Linked DNA regions of Nothobranchius furzeri. Each later gene encodes a partner of the first gene's protein in a complex. Links are inferred from orthologs where the notes say so. Each region holds a gene or a part of one and is shown on either strand. Other genes may lie near its edges.

Evidence for each region.
Region 2: the proteins of prim2 (region 1) and prim1 are in contact, whole or in part, in a crystal structure (PDB 5EXR), measured with the Homo sapiens proteins. The link is inferred for Nothobranchius furzeri from reciprocal best matches to the Homo sapiens genes PRIM2 and PRIM1. Residues at the interface, in NP_000938.2 of Homo sapiens: Glu165, Ala168, Ser169, Pro171, Ser172, Phe188, Ala189, Leu192, Phe195, Arg196, Gly197, Arg198, Val200, Tyr201, Leu202, Glu203, Asp204, Gly205, Phe206; in NP_000937.1 of Homo sapiens: Lys147, Glu148, Asp149, Phe150, Gly151, Phe152, Ala180, Val181, Gly184, Ile185, Glu187, Tyr188, Ser190, Leu191, Lys193, Lys207, Ile208, His209, Pro210, Ile212, Arg213.

The regions. Positions count from the first base shown.
Region 1 is NC_091752.1:19,622,549-19,632,566, forward strand, and holds the start of prim2 (DNA primase large subunit), read right to left. Parts: upstream 5,571-10,018; 5' UTR 5,454-5,570; intron 4,768-5,453; 5' UTR 4,760-4,767; coding exon 4,615-4,759; intron 3,647-4,614; coding exon 3,534-3,646; intron 1,945-3,533; coding exon 1,850-1,944; intron 1,768-1,849; coding exon 1,647-1,767; intron 723-1,646; coding exon 627-722; intron 1-626. UniProt on the Homo sapiens protein: Regulatory subunit of the DNA primase complex and component of the DNA polymerase alpha complex (also known as the alpha DNA polymerase-primase complex) which play an essential role in the initiation of DNA synthesis.
Region 2 is NC_091755.1:56,468,853-56,478,949, forward strand, and holds the start of prim1 (DNA primase small subunit), read left to right. Parts: upstream 1-4,770; 5' UTR 4,771-4,893; coding exon 4,894-5,002; intron 5,003-5,560; coding exon 5,561-5,718; intron 5,719-5,792; coding exon 5,793-5,899; intron 5,900-5,980; coding exon 5,981-6,054; intron 6,055-6,130; coding exon 6,131-6,267; intron 6,268-7,234; coding exon 7,235-7,293; intron 7,294-7,368; coding exon 7,369-7,478; intron 7,479-7,590; coding exon 7,591-7,682; intron 7,683-8,776; coding exon 8,777-8,909; intron 8,910-8,986; coding exon 8,987-9,056; intron 9,057-9,127; coding exon 9,128-9,240; intron 9,241-10,097. Other genes in the region: uncharacterized protein, read left to right, coding at 1-101, 1,046-1,165. UniProt on the Homo sapiens protein: Catalytic subunit of the DNA primase complex and component of the DNA polymerase alpha complex (also known as the alpha DNA polymerase-primase complex - primosome/replisome) which play an essential role in the initiation of DNA synthesis.

The DNA.
Region 1 (10,018 bases):
ATGGTACTCTTCTATGATGCAGAATCGTTTATGCCTGTATCTCATGCATTGACTATTTGATTATTTTCCGCAGCTCTGTCTGTCCTACACCTCCCGGTTGGCCGTCGGAGGTGTGGGTGGGGGGTGCAAACAACACAGGACAAACAATCATGCACACACACCTAAGGACAATTTAGACAGACCAGTTAACCTAACAGTCATGTTTTTGGACTGTGGGAGGAAGCCGGAGAACCCAGAGGAACCCCACGCATGCACAGCGAGAACATGCAAACTCCATGCAGAAAGATCCCAGGCTGGGAAGCGAACCCAGGACCTTCTTGCTGCAAGGCAACAGCTCTAACCACTGCGCCACTGCGCAGCCCATTTCCTGGAACTCATACAGTGGAAATGCAACTACTGTAGTTTAAGACCCCCAATGCCTGAGGGACGCCGACACGTCAATCTACAAATGGACACCAATATGTACAATTTGGCGAATTGGTTGCATGCCACAGTTTTGCATCTTACAGTCACTGCACTGAATCTACAGAATGTACCAACATTAGATTTTTAATGTGTATTAAAACATGAATCATGGTAGTGAGCAGAGTGGCATCCATCTCAGTGGAAGGAAATGAGTGACTCACTTTGTAGAAGTCCTGATCCTCTACAGTGATTCCACTGATGGCGTAAGTGGAGCTGACAAGTTTCTCCTTTAACTCCTTCTTCTCTTTGAGACTAATCTGAAAAAAAAAAAAGTTATTGATGACTTTCAGCGAGGAGCTTCAAAGACTAACCCATCCATCCATTTTCATCCGCTTATCCGCAGTCGGGTCGCGGGGGCAGTAGCCTAAGTCGAGAGGCCCAGACTTCTCTCTCCCCAGCCACTTGGGCCAGCTCCTCCGGGGGAATCCCAAGGTGTTCCCTGGCCAGGTGAGAGACATAGTCCCTCCACCGTGTCCTGGGTCTCCCTTTAGGCTCCTTCCCGGTTGGACGTCCCCAGAAAACCTCACCAGAGGCGTCCAGGAGGCATCCTGACCAGATGCCCGAGCCACCTCAACTGGCTCCTCTCGATGTAAGGGTTAATCCATCAGCAGCGAGGGCTCGCCGAAACCAAATAGTTAGAGACTAGTACATGATTTGCGTCCATGACCGGTTCAAAACGCTAATAGACGTTTTATAAAGTTTCAGTATTTTTGTTCATAGATATTTTATAAAGTGAAACAAATCCTGCCTAATAACATAATAAAATGTCAGAAGAGCATAAAAATCATGTCAATAGAAATAACTGTTGCATAAAAATCATGTCAATAGAAATAACTGTTTATTTAAAAACTATCACATATGAACCACTTTTCCTTTTAAATAAGAACAAAAACAGTAATATTTAAAAATGAAATGAGATTAAGCTTTTAGTTTGAAAAGCTCTAATGTGGCTAAACAGCGCCACCCAGTGGAGAAACAATTAAGTATCCATACACTAATTTTTCTGCTTCATAATTATTACCCATCACATTATTTAAAAATACCTTGAGTGTTTGTTTCCTTTGCCAAATACATTTATGTGTTGATCAAAATTTAATTTAAGCTCCCACAAAACAATTGATCAACATTTGACAATTAATAATTCAATTAAATGAGCAGAAAACCAGGGTTTAATGACTTACTGCGTCATACTGGAGATTATTCTTGTGAAGAAACTCAAGCTTTTGTTTTGAAAGCAGTCCATTAAAGCGATAGCGGAAAAGATCAACCTCCTGCTGAATGAACCATCGCCGCAGATCTTCCCTTTAAAGACAGAGTAAATTTAAAAGTCTGTTTTCTTTTGTTTAATTAGGATTCCTCAACATGATTAAAACCACAAACTTACGTCTGACAATAGGCCAATCTGAGAATGAAGTGGGAGATATGGTCCTTTCTTCGCTTCTCACTCTCACTTGGTCCACCTGGAAGTTTTCTGTCATCCTTAAAGAATAAAAAGATGTTTATAGTAGTGAAAAGTCTCAGAACAGTACTACTAGATCAACATGATTTCTTCTTTTTATGTGGCTGTTGCTTATCTTATAATTTCTCCACATCTTGAGAATCTCAAAAGTATTTTCTAAACCTGAAAAGTTTGTGGATTTTAAAAAAATTAGAGGATTAATCAATCTAAAACAAAACAAATAGCTCAATCTAATTCCTAAAGTGTGTACTGGTTTCAAACTGCCCAGTCATAAATAATAAAGTCACAAAGAAACATAAGAAATTGTATTTATTTCTAATAAATCCTAGCCCAATACAGTCGGTGGGACTTAAAGACCAAGTTCACTTGTTTTTTTTCCCCAACACAGCTGCAGCGGTCTCAAGTAGAAATGAGTGCCTTGTGAGTCGATGTGGTGGTAAAAAAGCTCGGGAGCTCCTGTTTCAGGAAGTAGAAATAAGCCAGAGCAGAGGGGAGCAGAAAATGGCAGGATCAAGAGTTGGACATCCCACCTATGACTGGCTAACAGCAACGCGACTCTTCCACCGACTCACCGTTTGCTTTGCTACTTTGATGTTTTATCTCCACAAATGACACGCTCCGGAAGGAGTTCTGCCATGTTGAGGAGAAGCTAATGTTAACATTTAGACTCTGCTCTCTCCTGGACGCTAAATCAGCCTTCCCTGTCGCGAGTCAAGATGGGTGAGTCCATAAAACCTAATTTGACAGCGTGATGTGCAATTGTCACTGGATTTCCACGTGTATTTTCTATAGGTGGCTAATGCAGGACACTTAGCATGCATGTTAAACTCTGAGTGACCTATCGTACTTCAAAAATAACAAGTAAAAAGTGGTTTCTCGGTTAACTTGGCCTTTAATGTAGCTTACAGGCTTGAATACATGAAGGTGGCAACTGTTGTTAGGTGTACTTTCTGTATTTTAAGTACAACGAGGCCCTAAACTAGTCAGTGTAAACGTTAGAGACAGAAAAGTGATTCTATTGGCTTGACTAAGTCTGCACCTTGAACATAAACGTCTACAAGCTATGTTAGCTTTCTAAGTCCACAGATAAAAATAGAAAATTGCTGTTTTATATTAAAAGGGAAAAAATAAGGATAACTTAGAGACCAAAAACATGAAATAAAGTAGTAACCAGACTAAACAATTTTGAGTTACCAGTTATTGGTTGTGTTTACACAGCATATCCTCATACTCAAGATTAAAACAAACAATAATAGAACTCAAATGTTAAGTATTTGTGGGAACTAGTACATTTTGAACTCTAAATAAAAGCAAGGATTGACACCAGACAATGGAAATATACCATGCCAAACTCCAGTCCTCGAGGGCCACACTACCACGTTTTATTGTGTTCCCTGTTCCAACAAATCTGACTTCACTCAGAAGATGACAACAGACTTCTGGAGAGCTTGGTGAGCTGCTGCATAAGTTAATCAACTGTGATGGAACACGGGAAAAAAACGAAAAGGTTCAGGATGCCGGCCCTCGAGGACTGGAGTTTGACACCCCTGTGCGAATTTAACTCTTAACATCAGAATAGTTTATAATCAAACAGCAGAAGAATACTCACAACTTCAGACCTGTAGGGAAAGTTCAAGGTCTTCAGCTCAGAATCCAGTTTCTTCGAGTACTGCTCTGACTGTTTCACATAACTCACTCCCAGGTTCTCAACCGTCTTCAACACTGCAGTGGCACCAAGAAAAGGCAACATTAGGGACGTGAATCTTAGAGCAACTCACGATTTGATTCGATTCCGATTCTCTGGGTGTCGATTCGATTCAGAATAGATTCTTGATTTAAACTCAATTCACAATCAATTTTAACAAAGAGTGTCAGTTCTAGGATTAACCACTTTGTTGTACAAGTTAGTTAAAGCTATGGGACATTTTTATTTTACTTTAAACTGGTCATGCTCAAAAAATGCAAATTTACAAGGTAAACTAAAGTGATTCTAAAACTGTAAACAGAAGCAATCTTTTGACCAAAAGGCAACATTTATTTTTGCTTATCTTGTATAATATAACAAATCTTTAGTTGCCTAACAGTAGCTTTGAAAGTATTACGGTCAAATACTTTTCAAGTACGTGTGGAAACAAGTTTAACGTTTGAGTCCTCAACCTGTTAAAAATAAGTGCCTCAGATTTATTACAAAGGAAAATGTTTTCTCTCATTTATCAATAACTTCAAATAAACACATGAGTAATCCTGAGTACTCACTCATCAACTTAGAAACTAAATATGAGAATACCTCAAATTAACGAGTATGGAAAAAATTACATTCTAGTCCCCACTTATCAGCAGATTCAAACATAAATCATCTCAATTTATGGGACCACAAAAGTAAACGGAGTACTGACTCTCCTAACAAAGATTAAAAAAAAACAGACAAAAGTGCATCTTAAACCTGTAACGTGCCAAACATTTGAGTTCTTGGAATCGATTCGGAACCTTTGTGAATCGATTCTGAATCTTTATAAATAAGAATCCCGATTCAAACTTGAATCGATTTTTTTCAGCACCTCTAGGCAACATTGTTACCAAGCTCTTAAAATAAAATGCATCTTGATATAATAAAAAGTAAACCTGCAAAAAAAATAGCTAAACAATTTAAATAAATCTAGATTTTGTTCACGAACACTGAATGGTCTTACATTTCAGTCTGTCCACAGCAAAGGTCTCAAATTCAGAGAGAGAGATGTTTTCCAGAGGGGGCTGCCCGTAGAATTGCAGCGGCTGCACGTAGAGCTCAGTCTGGATGCTTGTCCCGAACTTCTTTCTTCTCCCAGAAAACAGCATGGTGCTTGCTGGATTAGGAAAAATAAATACCATAACTATAAAAGTTAACAGATCATGTTTCATTCAGATCAGGTGTAACTGCATGTTCATTGGTTCCGTATATGAACGCAGTAACAACACAGGAGGGAAGCATAGGCAAATAATTGTTTTTTATTCTTGCTAAATTTAACACCAATCCAGGTTATACCTAATCTGTAAAGGAGCTGCTTCATGAAAAATAATAATGTATGTAGAGATTGATTGGGGCACCAAATACAGCTCCCTCGCTGCATTATTACAAGTTTTAGTAGATATTGTAGAAGATTACTGCCCCGTTTTTATTTTTAATAAATTATAAAGAATGAAAACAGAACGCAAGAACTATTTTTAGGGTAAAACTCAGCAGCTCAGAATGACTACGTCATCAACACTCGCCTTTTAACCTGACAGCGGTTTTAAGATGCTAAAAGTATCTACGCAAACACTTAACTAAACTATGACGGCTAATTTAAACAAAGTGTGCACAAACCGCAAAAAACTAGCGGTTTATAGACCAATGAGGAGACACTAAAACTCCTTAGACCAAAACAAACCGACTTTCAAGTGTAGAAACGTCTACGTTGACACGGTGCTCGCTAACACTGAGACAGAAACGAGCTAGCTAAACTTGAGCTATCGGAATAACGTTTAAACTTCATAATCAATGTAACTTTACCGATAAAATATGGAGCTGCTCTTACTGACACAAATCCCGCCAAACAACGAGAGCTTGTTTAACAAACGCGGGTAAAGAATGACGATACGCCCAACACAGGAAGTGGAACGCTTACGTAGAGCGGTGAGCGCTCGTTTAGTTTTTTACGTTGCCCGTCTGTGGCATTTCATCGTGAAATACAAGAAAAAACGAAATGTAATGGGCAATTTCACGTTGAAATGTTAAATCCAAAAGTGTTAGCAAACGTTTTGGCTAAAAAAAAAAGTGATCGTATTTGCACTGATACGTTTTAAGGTATAACTGGGTTACACAGAAACACCTTTAATGCATAACAAACGCACACTTGAAAAATAAATAACAGTAAAAATAAGTTCTGAAGTGCTTTTAGTTAGTTTAAGGACATTCTGATTATTGGACATTTCTGATAGAGATTTTACTTCATAGGTCGTGACTGTAAACACAGATACATATAAACATTTTTCTTTGCTATCTCAAAACTTTCTTTTTAGAACAAATGACAATACGTTTAGAAATTAAATTTTAAAACCCGTAAAACTTCATGTTAGGTTGTATAAAGTCTATGAATAGTATTAACTAGTTCAACATTATTATTATTATTATTATTATTATTATTAGTAGTAGTAGTAGTAGTAGTAGTAGTGGCAGTAGTAGTAGTAGTAGTAGTAGTAGTAGTAGTAGTAGTAGTAGAATTATTGTTGTTGTTCTTGTTATTAACTGTATTATTTCCTGCTATTTCAGCTGATAACTTTATTTTTTCTATAAGTGTTTTCTCCCCAGAAGAAGCTACAATGATGTTCTGCTGAGCTGCATGGTGGGGGCTTGAATAATGTTGCTAACCATTTAAACATTCTCCTTCTCCTGATAATAACATTTTACTTTCTTTGACATTGAATGTGCTACTACTACTTTACCCATTTAATTATAGATCCACTAGGATAAATACAATAAAGTTCATCTTCCACCAAATAGAATATTTACTAAGAAATCACGATGTAACCATAGAAACATTACTTGGTATAAATGTTGTGTGTGTGGATGTGTGTGTGGGTGGGCTGGTGTTGGTGTATGCGTGTGTCTGCTCTGTCTTCTCGACCCCCAGTGAGTCGTGGTGGACGGCTGCTTATACTAAGCCAGAATACTCTGTAGGTTTCTTCCTGTTAAAAGGGATTTTTCCTCTCCACTGTCACTAAATGCTTGCTTAGTATGAGGATTGTTGTAAAGTCACTGACACTAGTCAATGACTTGACGCAATCTGCTGGGTTCCTTAAAAAGGAAAAAAAAATTCCGATTGGTTTAATGAACTGACCTGTATTGGAATGATTACTATGTGAAGTGGCTTGAGATAACTCTTAAGGTATAACTGGGTTACACAGCGCTATATAAATAAACTTGAATTGAAATAGAATTGAAAATAGAATTATTGCTATTATTATTATTGTTGTTGTTATTATTATTATATATGTTTTTGAGACACTTAGCTCTTCTTTACATATTTCTACCAAAATGGAACATCTCTTAACTATACTGATTTAATTCGCCAGACTGTAAAAATATTAATATTAATTTTAATATTTTGTTTTCCTAATGAATACATCTAATGTGAATGACCAAAAATATAATATTCATTGGTGGGATTGTGATTGTAGATATTTTTGTACTTTCAATTCAATGCAATTCAATAATTTTATTTCACTCAAAATTTAAATATACAAACCTCAAATCAGAATACAATTGCCAACCAGAATACAAGCATTCTATTGAATACAATAATTCGAATGAAATAGGGGGAGGACGAAGAAAAAATCTTATATGACCTACCCCCTTTAACTAAGACAAGATAAATTACAAAAAGTACAAAATGGCCTTATGCACAAAAAATAAACCGCTCTCTTTCTTCCACAAATAATATCAATACTAAAACATTAATCCTCCATCCTCAACTCACCAAATCATACGATTTTAGCATTTTATCTTTCTACATTTTTTTAATTGATCAGTAGTTGTACATTTTTTTAATTCATCATCCAGGTTATTCCATAATTTCACACCATATATTGAAATACACATTTGCTTTAATGTAGTACGAACAAATATCCTTTTAAACTCTGGTTTCTTTCTACTCTTATCATTTTTTGGGATCAAAACAAAGAACCTTTGTAGAATAGTTGGCAGTAAATTATTTCTAGCCTTAAACATAATTAGTAAAATTTTCAAGTTAACTAGGTCCTTAAATTTCATAATTTTAGATAGAACTAAATATTTGTTAGTATGTTCTCTCGGATTTGCTTTATATAGAATTCGCAAAACTTTCTTCTGTAACACAAACAAAGGATTAGTGTTTGTTTTATATGTATAATTTGCCCCAAACCTCAATACAGTAAGTTAAATATTGTAAGATAAATGAATAATATAATGTCTGAAGCGTTGAAATTTCTAGAATACTTTCGACTTAGTTTAAAATTCCAATACTTTTAGATATTTTTTGTTTTATATATTTTATATGGGATTTCCAAGTAAGTTTATGGTCCAAGAGAACCCCTAAGAATCTGACTTCATTTACTCTATCAATTAAAAAAAACATCAATAGACAACATAACTAAATCATTTGTTTTTCTGTTACCAAAAACCATGAATTTTGTTTTATTCCAATTGAGAAATAATTTATTGTCATTAAACCACTTCATAAGTTTAGACATCTCACAAACCATATTTTGAATAATAATTTCTAAATCATTTCCAGAACAAAATATATTCGTGTCATCAGCAAACAATATGAACTGTAATACTTTGGACACATCACAAATGTCATTTATGTATAGAATAAAAAGCTTAGGGCCCAACACTGAACCCTGTGGGACACTGTGTGTAATTTCTAGTGAATCTTAAATTTCATCATCTAACTGTACAAATTGATTTCTATTGGTCAAATAACTACTTAACCAGTCATGGGTGATTCCACGTATCCCATAATCCCTCAAGCCTGGCAAGCCAGACTAAATAAATGTATTATTTACAAACTTTGCAAAGCAAGAATTTGGTCTAGTTCACTAGGCTATAATCCCTCAGCTTGGAGAGTAAAATACTATGATCTATTGTGTCGTATGCCTTTTTTAAATCAATAAACAAACCCACTGTATATTGTTTTTTCTATTGCTGATGCAAGTTCTTCATTTAATTCCAATAAAGCCAGGGATGTAGATTTATGTGATCGAAACCCATACTGACTCTCACTAAGGAGGTTTTCTTCTCAATAAAGTTATCTAGTTTCTGGACAAACCATTTCTCAAGCATTTTAGAAAACCGGGAAAGCACTGAGATTGGTCTATAATTATCAAATCTATGTCCATCACCGTTTTTAAATATTGGAATTACTTTTGCAGTTTTCATTTTTTCTGGAAATGTACCGCTCTGAACAGACAAATTACAGATATAAGTGAATGGTTTAACAACATAAACAACAGTTTTCTTTACAATCATCATGTCAATCCCGTCACAGTCTGTGGAAGTTTTATTTTTACTTTTCCCTACTATCGTCAAAACTTCATTTTCACTTACATCCCCTAAAAACATAGACTGTAAAAAGACTTTAACTTGACGAATAACATTGTAAATTTGCTTAAATGGCTATGTAAAATCTGAAAGGGAGGAAATAAATGTGATTTGATTTTATACTACAACGGTCTGCCATACAGTCTTGCCGTGGTTTCGCTGCTTAGCAACAAGCGTTAGCGAGGCGAGCTAGCGGTTTCCCAGTTAGCCAGTCTCCCCCCCAGCGCATAAAGCTGGAGCGTTAGCTTACAGAATGAGGGCAATGCGTTTGTGTACGTATAGTGTTATAGTTTTACACGTTTGAGAAAGTATTCCCCCACTATTTCAAGGGAAAAATTACTTCGTGCCTGGAAGTTAATCAGAGCCTTTCTCAGGGAGAAAAGTGTCTAACCTTAGCACGGTAACCTTAGCACCGTAGTTTGGCGTCTCCACTGGTCACGGAGAGGAGCTGAGGGAGGATGTAGACATGTCCGTGTGGGTTAGCTGGCCGGTTAGCTGATCTAATGTCGAAGGAGAAGTTTTGACAAGATATTGCAGGTAAAACCTAACACAACTTTGTGAATTTGCTGGCGTGACGTTCATTTTAAACCACATATGTTTGCGTCTGTTAGCTGTAAGGACAAACGGCCGACAGCTGCTTTTTACTTTAAGTCCTGTCAGCTGCTATTCAACAGGTCGAATCTTGAGGCGAGGCTGGAAGAATTTTGGGGGAGAACAAAAGCTGCGGAGCAGACCTAAATGCATTTCCTCACATACTGAGGCAATTCAAAAGATTGTTATCTGTGTGCATTATAATGTTTCCAGCTAAGGCCTAAATAAAGGCAAATCTGTAGAAGAGATAGTCTTTTCAGCATCTATAATTTAATCAACTTAGCTGCTTTTTCCTTGTCTCTTAAATCTTATTTGTTCTATATTGGACAGTTAAGAAATAATTACAGAAATCAAATTCTGGTTTTGCTTAAAATGCTTTCTGAGGGAAGTCTAGTCTCGCTTGT
Region 2 (10,097 bases), on another chromosome or scaffold:
CTCCCTCTTCTGGACGCACCCCGTCACACCATCTGCCCTCCCTACTGACTCCTGGACTCTTTCTGGCTTCATTGAACTTGGATATCTCCAGGACACTTTTAGTTAGGTTTAATAAATCATTGTTTGAACTTTCTGCCGTTGTTGTGATGATTCTTCATGTCGTGGGTTAAACACCTTCCCAGGGACATGACAAATATTACTTTATTATCTCTTGATGTTATTAGTCTTATCACAGGACGCTGGGTGTCTTCCACATTCATAAACACCCCAAAGATGTCAAAAAAAATTAAAGTTGTTTTCATTTTTAACCTTTAAAAATATAAGCTGTAGATCAATTTTGTCTAGAAATGCAATTACCCTAACTGTGCGCAACCCCGCGGTGGCTAATCACTTTTTAGCAGCCAGTCGATTTATGGCACAACACCGGTTCTGGGGATCATGCGGGCTTCTTTTAGTTGGATTTGACCCAGCCACCCATTCAACTTGGTATTTTTAAAAGTCGCGCATCCTCTCCTGGCGGTCCAGGCGGCCGTTCTGATGTGGTTTCGACCCAGAAACCAGCTGACCCGCATGTCTCTTCTGGTGGTCGGTTCTAAGCTGGTTCTGATGGCGGGTTAGGGTTACCCTAACCTACCCGGTACCGACCGATGTGGGCTACAGAAGTCAGTCTTTTCAGCTGCGCAAAACGCCCTCAGGCAAAAGGTGCTTCACATCCATGATGCGTTCACATAGTGACTGCTGCTATTAAACGAGTGCAGTTAGCCTAAACCACCATGTGACTAGCTAGAGTAGATGGCAGAAATGATGAAGGTGCTGGTTAAACCTTTGTCTCAGAATGTGCGGCTGTCAGTTTGTTTGAATGCTAACATGAAGGGACCTCAGAATAAAAGCTCTGGAAGGTTCTTTTCTTATATTTATATCATAGTTCTTTATTGTGTTTACACTGTCTTCTTTAGTGGAGTTTATAAACGTACCAGATGACTAAACAGCAGATACGAGGGTTTGACTCCCACCCACCCCTAAAGCTGCTCTTTTGCTTCTGTAGATGGAGCTGATGCAGCAGAGTCAGGTGAAGGCTGAAATCCAGTCCCTGGCCTCCATAGCTCCTGACTTCCTCACCAACATCTACCTCCCTAATAAGCTCCGCTATGGAGGCTGGGTGTGAAGATGCTGCGCCCTGGTGGAAGAGCTAGAGAAGGTCTGACTCGGGTTCTACTTCTGCATGGATCTGCTGAGGCTGAAAATGATTATCGGTGGTTGTGTGGATTCTTGATCTGTGTCCACTTTTCCATTATCACAATAAGAGCTTTGTCAGGATATTTAAAGTTTGCTTCCTCTTCCGGGGTCACTGGTGAACACATTTTGATTAATCTGGAGACTATTAAATAAATAAGGAGAGGGATTTATAAGCGAGGGCTTCATCCCACTCCCCTTGAACATGTTTCTCATTCATACCATTTTTTCTTTTTCTTTACTTCTCATAGCTTGCTTTACTTTATCAGAATTGATATTCAGAGTTGGGACCAGGTGAAGAATAAAAATAAACCCACTTTAGTTTGTTTTTTGACCCGTGAAAACAGGTTTAGTCTGAGGAGTTTTGGGTTAATCTACGTTTAAGTAACTACATGAACATCAGGCTAGTGGTTGTTTTACTGGGGTTAAATGTTAAATGTGGGAGGAGTTTTTCACCATCTAATTGAAAAGGAAATAACCATCATTTGCAGACACGAAAACCATCTGTCTGGCCTCCAAATCCAGAAAGTTCTGCTCCGTTCTTGTTTTCGTACAAGAAGACAAAACATTCTCACCCAAGGCCTCATGCAGACTCCTGCATTTTCACTCTGAGGAAGTCATCCTGAATTATAAATAACTTTACAGCTCATAAGTTGGAATAATCATATGTGTTGAAGGAACAAGATGTTTAAGTCAAATGTTTGTGTTTATAAAATTTAAGTTCAACGTTTTGGATACGTACTGTTATTTTAATAAAAACGAATAAAGGCGCAGTGCAGCACATTGACACAGACTAAATTCAATCAGAGTGTAATGTCATGATTATAGGGTTGGGCATCGAGCATTGAGCATCGATTGGAACCGGTTCCAGCGAGGCGCGTTGCAAGATTTTCAAAAGTGTGGGGGATGTTGTCTGTGCCTAAAATAAGTTCATGTTATTCATCTTGTTAGTTTAATTTCCGTAATAGCGGAGCAGGTGCAAATTTTAGACGCGTCACGCATGTCTCCGTTTTAAACATGTTTAAACTGTTCAGAATACAAATCCAGGCTCTGTTTCGTTAAACTGGTGTAACTAAAGTTTGTACTGAATGAAACTTTACACTAAACCATGTTGATAAGAAAAGGATCCGATTAAATCGTTTCCCCCTCATTTACAGTCAGGAAGTACAGCGCAGTGCTCACGGCTCTGGGTTTAATCAAGTTTAATTGTTTCTCTTTGCAACAATCTTCACAAGAAGGCAAAACAGTTAAATGGCAGGGTTATAGATATTTCCATTTGACTGTTTATTTTGACAGATAAACTCAAGGATGTTGGTTGTTTTGAAAGAATTACCCCGATGCACACTGATGAGCTGACATTTTAATCGTTACACACATCGCGGAGGTAACTAAATCCATCAAGAAAAGATTCCCATCAGAACATCAGAGCTTTATACTGGACACTGTGCTCAGCGCGGATCGGAGCGCACACGGTGGACAGTGAGCTGAAGATCTGTAGAGGGGTTCGCAGCGCAGAACCACAGCGATGCGGTAAGATTTCCTCCCACTGAAACGGTCTGGAAACCCGGTCTCTCTGAGGGATGTGTCACTTGGAAAAATGTTCACTGATTATGAAACTTTGGCTGAATAGTGCTTGTTCCCGTCTCTAATATGGAGATGCACGACACATCCAGTCTGAGGCAGAATAGCCTCTTCAGCTCAGAAAGCACCTGTAGAGACATTTGATCACGCACAAAGTTTATGTGGAGCAGAAGCGGTCGGGCCACGGCAGGTGAAATGTTCCTAGCCTACATGAAGTGTAACGGTTTAATTGTAACATTAATATGTTACTGGACACACTGGTCTGGTTGGTTAGACCAGTGTTTGAAGTGGAAAACACACACACGCACGCACACACACCAATTAAATAACGCTGATAGCATGGACTAGAAGACAGGTGATGGTATTTAAATGATGATCAGGCTGCTGTAAAATGTAATCTCTATCCACATCAGACTTATCCTCTATTCTTTCTCTATTTGCTCTGCTGTCTGGGCTGACCTACCTGATGGTGCGTGCGGCGCATCTAGCGGCTGTGATGCACATTTTACGCATTTGGAGAGGTGGGTTGGATGCTTTGCTTTACTGGCAGATGGATTTTTTTTTTTCAAAAATGTCGGAGATTTTGCCCCATGAATAACCGTTAAAACCACCGGTGTGCATGTACCCTTATGAAAGAGTCCTACGTTGAGAGGTAAATATTAGAAGTGCAGGTAATGCATTCTGGTGCCTATAAATGAAAAATGAATGAAACATATCTATATAAAAAGGCTGCGCAGCGGCACAGTCGTTAGAGCTTTTGCCTTGCAGCAAGAAGGTCCTGGGTTCGCTTCCCGGCCTGGGAACTTTCTGCATGGAGTTGGCATGTTCTCCCTGTGCATGCATGGGTTCTCTTCAGGTACTCCAGCTTCCTCCCACAGTTCAAAAACACGACTGTTAGGTTGATTGGTCTGTCTAAATTGTCCCTAGGTGTGTGTGTGTGTGTGTGTGTGTGTGTGTGTGTGTGTGTGTGTGTGTGTGTGTGTGTGTGTGTGTGTGTGTGTGTGTGATTGTTTGTCTTGTGTGTCTCTGTGTTGCCCTGCGATGGACTGGCTCTCTGTCAAGGATATACCCCGCCTGATTGCCCGTTGACCGCTGGAGATAGGCACCAGCCCCCACCCCCCCATTCGCAACCCTGCATGGACAAGCAGGTTCAGAAAATGGATGGATGGATCTATATAAAAATAACAAAAATACAGAGAACAAATAGATTAAACATACTCAACAATCAACTTCTTGTATAATTCTATTTAACCCAGCTCATCAACATAATGATCCAGTAGATGTTTTTTGTAGCTCTTGATTTACCTTTACACATTTTTTGCAGCATGGATAGTGATTGTAGATTACTCAGGTATGTGTTTCCCCAAACTTCCACACAGTAATTCAAGTATGGCATTACCAGTGATGAAAACAGATTTATCCTAAAGATATAATTTCGTATGTCACAAATTTGACTCAAAAAGTTTATTTTGAAATCACAGGTTGGTGCGGTTTCATAGTTCGCACCATTTAATTCCTGGTGGTTTTAGCCGCGCTTCCATGCGGGCGGAGTCTAGTAGCAATAAATACCTCGAATGTTAAAAATAGAAAAGGCCACATTGGTCAAACATTCATGCAAGCTATTTGAGATGTTAATATTGTTTTATATTGCATCTGTTTCTATTAGCGAAGTTTCCCCTCTCAGTTGATCACAAATACAACTTCCTCCCCGCTCGTTTTGACTTCCGCCCGGCGAATCAAAAGAAGCAAACCCTACCATCGACATAAATATACTGGACATCTCCATTCCAAAGTCAACCCAGGGCCAAAAACTTAACGCTTTATAGTCTTACTTTATTCACAGAAAACCTTGAGTTCCATTCAAGTTGAACTCTGTAATGTTATTTTAGTTTAGGAAAATAAATAAAACGTTTTCATGGTACTTCCTGTTATTTGTGACGTAGTTGTCGCAGTTGTTTGTCATCACTGTTTCTTTCGAGTTTTCCCGCGCTGTCCTTAGCTAACCAAGCTGTCAGCTTGACTGAAGAGCAGCAGTAACATATACCTAGCTGCACATTAGCTTGGCTTTACTACATTATAATGCCATCTTCAGACTACGACTCCGCTTGTCTGCCGGACTTATTACCGCTGTACTACCGACGACTGTTCCCCTTCTACCAGTATTACCGCTGGCTTACCTACGGAGGAGGTAACTTCACAAACAGACCAGAACCACGAGCAAGCGTCAGACCGGGCTGTTAGCTTGTCTTCTGTGATTTAACTAGCTATATATGTAATTAGGCTAGCTAGCCTTCTATGCTGAACTTCAGGGTTTGTGGATTTTACGTTTGCTTCCCCCTGTGTAACATTTGAGATGTATTTACAACTGTTACAGAGCTTTTCAGAGCGTTTGACTTATGTTACGTTTAAACAAGGATTCACTTTAGTAAGACAGCTGCTAATTTATTTAAGGAAAGCAGCTTGTTCCCAGTATTCAAGAGTTGATGAAGACCTGAAAAAAACAACAATAAAGCCTGGGTAGTTAAACGTCACCGTATTTTATTGCACTGATAAATTCAGATAAGATTAAGTAAAATTTTTCTGGAAGACGTTGATTTTATTAGTAATGAAACTTTACAGCGATTATTTTATATGTGATATTTAAACAAAAGTTTGTCACTCATTAGAAAAGAGACAGATTTTGCTTGATTGCCTTTATGAAATAAACACATACAGTGTTTATTTGTCCATTTTCCCACATTCTCAGTGCAGAAGAACTACTTCCAAAACCGAGAGTTCTGCTTCACGCTCAAAGATGACATCTACGTGCGCTACCAGTCTTTCAGCACGCTGAACGAGCTGGAGAAGGAAATGCAGAAGATGAACCCTTATAAGATTGATATTGGAGCAGTGTACAGTCACAGGGTAAGACTTTATTCTGGATCAAATCATGTTTACTATCGTGTAAGTGTAGTAAAGTCACTGTTTGTCATCAACAGCCTAATCAACACAACACGGTGAAGTCCGGCAGCTTCCAAGCTCTAGAGAAGGAACTTGTGTTTGATATTGATATGACAGATTATGATGATGTCCGAAGCTGCTGCAGGTGATTATTTCTAGTTCTGAGCCTGTTCAGAGTGTTCTGGAGGACAATCTACCAAAATGACCTTTTCAAACTTCGATCCAGTGCTGCAGACATTTGCACCAAGTGCTGGACGCTGATGACCATTGCTATCCGCATCTTGGACAGAGCGCTCAGAGGTGTGTCCCTGGTCTTATGTCAGGCATGTGTTTATTTTGAATCAAATCAGATTGACATTTTTTATGTTTCTCCCAGAGGACTTTGGCTTTCAGCACCTGCTGTGGGTTTATTCTGGCAGAAGGGGAGTTCATTGTTGGGTGTGTGATGAAGCTGCCCGGAAGCTCTCTGCTGCAGCACGCTCTGCTGTGGCTGAATATCTCAGCCTGATCAAGGTAGCAATGGTTTTACCGGTATTAGGTGATTTTAAAGCAAAACTCCAAGATTATTTAAGTCTTTTAAGCAGTCCTAGAATTTAAAACCACATTTATCTGGTTGTTGTTGTTGGATAAAGGCAGCTTGGGGGTGTCTAGTGTAGCATACCAAAATGTCTGTGCTGTTGCTGACCTGCTTTCCTATGTAAATTAATAATGCTGTAACGGCCACAGAGAAATGGTTCGTTTGGAGAAAAGCTGGTTTAACACGTCATTAGCACGACACACACCCTAAAATCTGCAGGTCCCAACCTAATCATTGGTCATGATTAGGGGTGTGATGGTTCACGGGGCGGTGTTGAACCGTTTCAGTTTGGTCCACTTGCGTATTGTTTTGGTTTAACAAAGAAGAATGTTGGAGCACCAATCACATTCCAGGATATAATGGGAGTATCCAGATTGTGAATGAATGAATGCTAGATTAATCCATAGCCTGCAATCTGGTCTAACAGAGTACAGCCACACACACACACACACACACACACAGACAGATAGGCAGATCGATCCACATCTTGCAGTCCTTGTTCTCCTGCTTGTTTATCTGCAAAACCTGCTCCTCAACCCATTTGAATCTCTCTTTGGAAAACACTCACTTCTTTACTCGTTTGTCTGCACTGATAGTAACACACACACACACACTCACACACAGGTCACAGACTTACTTGCTTCAAGAAATAAAGCTATTGGGGTGCGTTGGTCAATTTTTCTGGGTTCCTGAGCCCCAACAAAGTTTCATGGGATATATTAAGGCTCAAATAATAGTTTCCAATCGTTAAAAAAATTACTTTTATCTAGAACCCCTTTAAAGTTCAAATTCAAAGCCACTTAACAGCTGCTCCCATAACTAAAAGCTGCTTATTTATTGGTTTCTGACTAACATACAGTACAGTTGTATGTCCAGATGTGATTTCTAAATGTAACCTTTTAGGGTGGTGAAGATACTGTGAAGAAAGTAGTGCTGACAGATCCAATTCACCCCTTTATCAGGTAAATATACGTTTGACTGTTGTTTTTGTCATTGCTGCTTCTGTTTGTGGCTTCAGCTGTGTCTAATCCCACCAGAGAGTCTTTGGCAGTGGTGGAGCACTTCTTCCCTCAATACGCGCTGCAGGATCAGGACATACTGGCCCGCAAAGAGTCTGTAGACAAAGTCCTGGCTCTAGTTCCTGATGATATCCTTTCTCTAACGTGCTTGCTCAGTAATTTCCTGAATATGAAAACCAGCTGAATTGATATGATTTTTAAAAAGCAGTGATAATTATGAGGCCTTAATTTGTTCTGTACATGTAAAAAAAGAGTTACAGCAGGACTTCCAGAATGAGAAGAAATCAGATGTTCGTTGGAAACTGATCAAAGACCAAGCCCGAAAGAAACAGGTTGGTCTTCGTGGTTGTTCTAGTAAATAAAATTCTGTGTATTTATATAGCACCAGGTCACGCTGAGTCCTCTCATTGCACTTCACAAAGTTAACCGTTGAGTTCAGTTCATTATGCCAGTTAGTGAAGTTTCCTACAAAAGGAAGTCCTTTCAGAAATGCAACAAAAACTTAATAATGTTCCTGATCATTTTTTGTTTGTTTTTATATTTAAAAAAACAACAACTGTTGTTTGTAGTAGTCGGTTCAGATGAATGCTTCTCAAATTGTGCTGCATCCACAGCGTGCCAGTGTCAGCAGGTTCAGGCTTGCTGGCAGCCTTACATTCAGCAAGTGCAAGGCTGCAAAATCCCTTTTCTTCCTAATGTAAATATTTGTTTAAATATGTCTGAAGTCAAAGTTTTGATAAATTAAATGTAGTTTTCATTGAATTTTTGAAAGTGTATTTTATGGGAACTAGTTTTGTAAACCATATGAAATTTAAAAAGTAATATTCATAATTTTACCGATTAGTGAGCATTAAAGGGATACTTTGCAACTTTTTCATTTTTTAAATAATTTTCTTGAGTGGGTATGTGCTAAAATGACCCTTTACAGCTGGACTATTCAATTCCGTGCCTCGAGGGCCGGTATCCGGCACGTTTTAGTGGTTTCTCTGCTCCAACACATTTAGTTCAGCTCATCAGGCTCTGCAGAAACCTGTTAATTACCTGGCGATTGAAATCACGTGTTGAAGAAGAGTTAAAACTAAAATGTGCTGATACCGGCCCTCGAGGCACGGAATTGAATACAACTGCTTTACAGAGTTGGTGAAAAATCACTCAGACCCCTTGCTATTTCAGAGTTGCCGGCCAGTCTGGTCCTGGTTAGTCTCAAAGCAGCACATTTCCTGCATGTTTTAGATCGCTAACACAGCTGATTTGTTTGATTTAGGCATGAATTTCTCCTGTAGAAACTAAGGAAGGAGACCTTTCAGCGGTTAGATTAAGATGTTAAAAAGACAAAGGTGATTTTGCTTTGACTGACAGAACACCAGATGGTGGTGAAAGCCAGCAAAACTGCTTAGTATTAATTTAACAGTCTTGCTCCTCCTAGTCTACAGCTAAAAAGGGCCAACACTTTGACAAAGAGATCATGCTGCAGTACTGCTACCCTCGGCTTGATGTGAACGTCAGTAAAGGTGTGAGCCACTTACTGAAGAGCCCCTTTAGTGTTCATCCCAAAACAGGTGAGTTGGGTCTGAAAACACACAGTGACCTGTTTTCTCTACCAGCTGTTAGTAAAACCAGCTCTGCTCCTGAATAGGACGTGTCTCAGTTCCCATCGACTTGAGGGAGTTGGACAGCTTTGATCCTTTCGCTGTTCCCACCATCAGGTCAGTCGTCTCTGTGCTGTTTTGTGACCAGGCTGCAACCCACAGAAACTGATTTTATTTGATTTTTTAAGTCTGATCTGTGAGGAGTTGGATCGACCCAAAACTGGGGAGGAAGAAGAAAAAGTGGAGGATGCCACAGAGAAGGAAGATGAGAGAGACGCCTCAGAGAAGCGGAGGATCAGAGGTGCCGTAAAAACACCAAAAATCTAACTTTCCCCTCACATTTATTCAAAGATCTTTCATCATTAACAGGACATAATTGTGAAGATATCTTTGCTGATCATCTGGTTAGGAGATCTCCTTTCCCCCCAACTAGTTTCAGATTAAGAGTTTTATTAATTCATCTTAGATCTAGGAATTGAGAAACTTTGCACTACTCCTAGATTAAACGGATTGTCAACATCTTCAGATTTTCAGGTGATTTTGACATCCAATTTTCTTAAAGAGTAAATTGCAGGTTAATTTATTTTTTAATTCATATAAAATGCTGTCCAAAAACACTATTTGAAATGCTTATTGTGGATATTTCATTTTAAAATACATAACAGCAGTTTTCTAGTAAAAAGTGGCCTTTCTCAGCAAAGCTTCTAAAAAAAGCTCTTTTTTCTAAATCTGAACCTCTGACGTAACCAAAGGAGTTAGAGGCTCGGTGCTGCCTCAGCTCTGTGTGAGAGTGGGTAGTTTCTGGGTAGAGAGGTCATGTTATCCAGCCAGTGTGTGTGTTTGCTAGATCTGGATTGTGTTCATTTTGATAAACTATAGTTTGTGAAGGCTGTACCAACTCCAGCCTGTCTGGACATCAAGTCCACGGGTTTCCAGACAAGAGAAACAATGCCTCTATCTCCATGCCTGAGGGTGTTTTGTGCAGCTGAAAAGACAGACTTCTGTAGCCCACATCGTTCGGTACCGGGAGGTCCGCACTGGGCTCTAGAGACCCTTGGCAGGGTTTAAAAAATTAAATGTGGATATCTGGAGGTTGGATCACCGTCAGAACCAGGTTAGAACTGACCACCAGAAGAGACGCGCGGCTCAGCGGGCCAG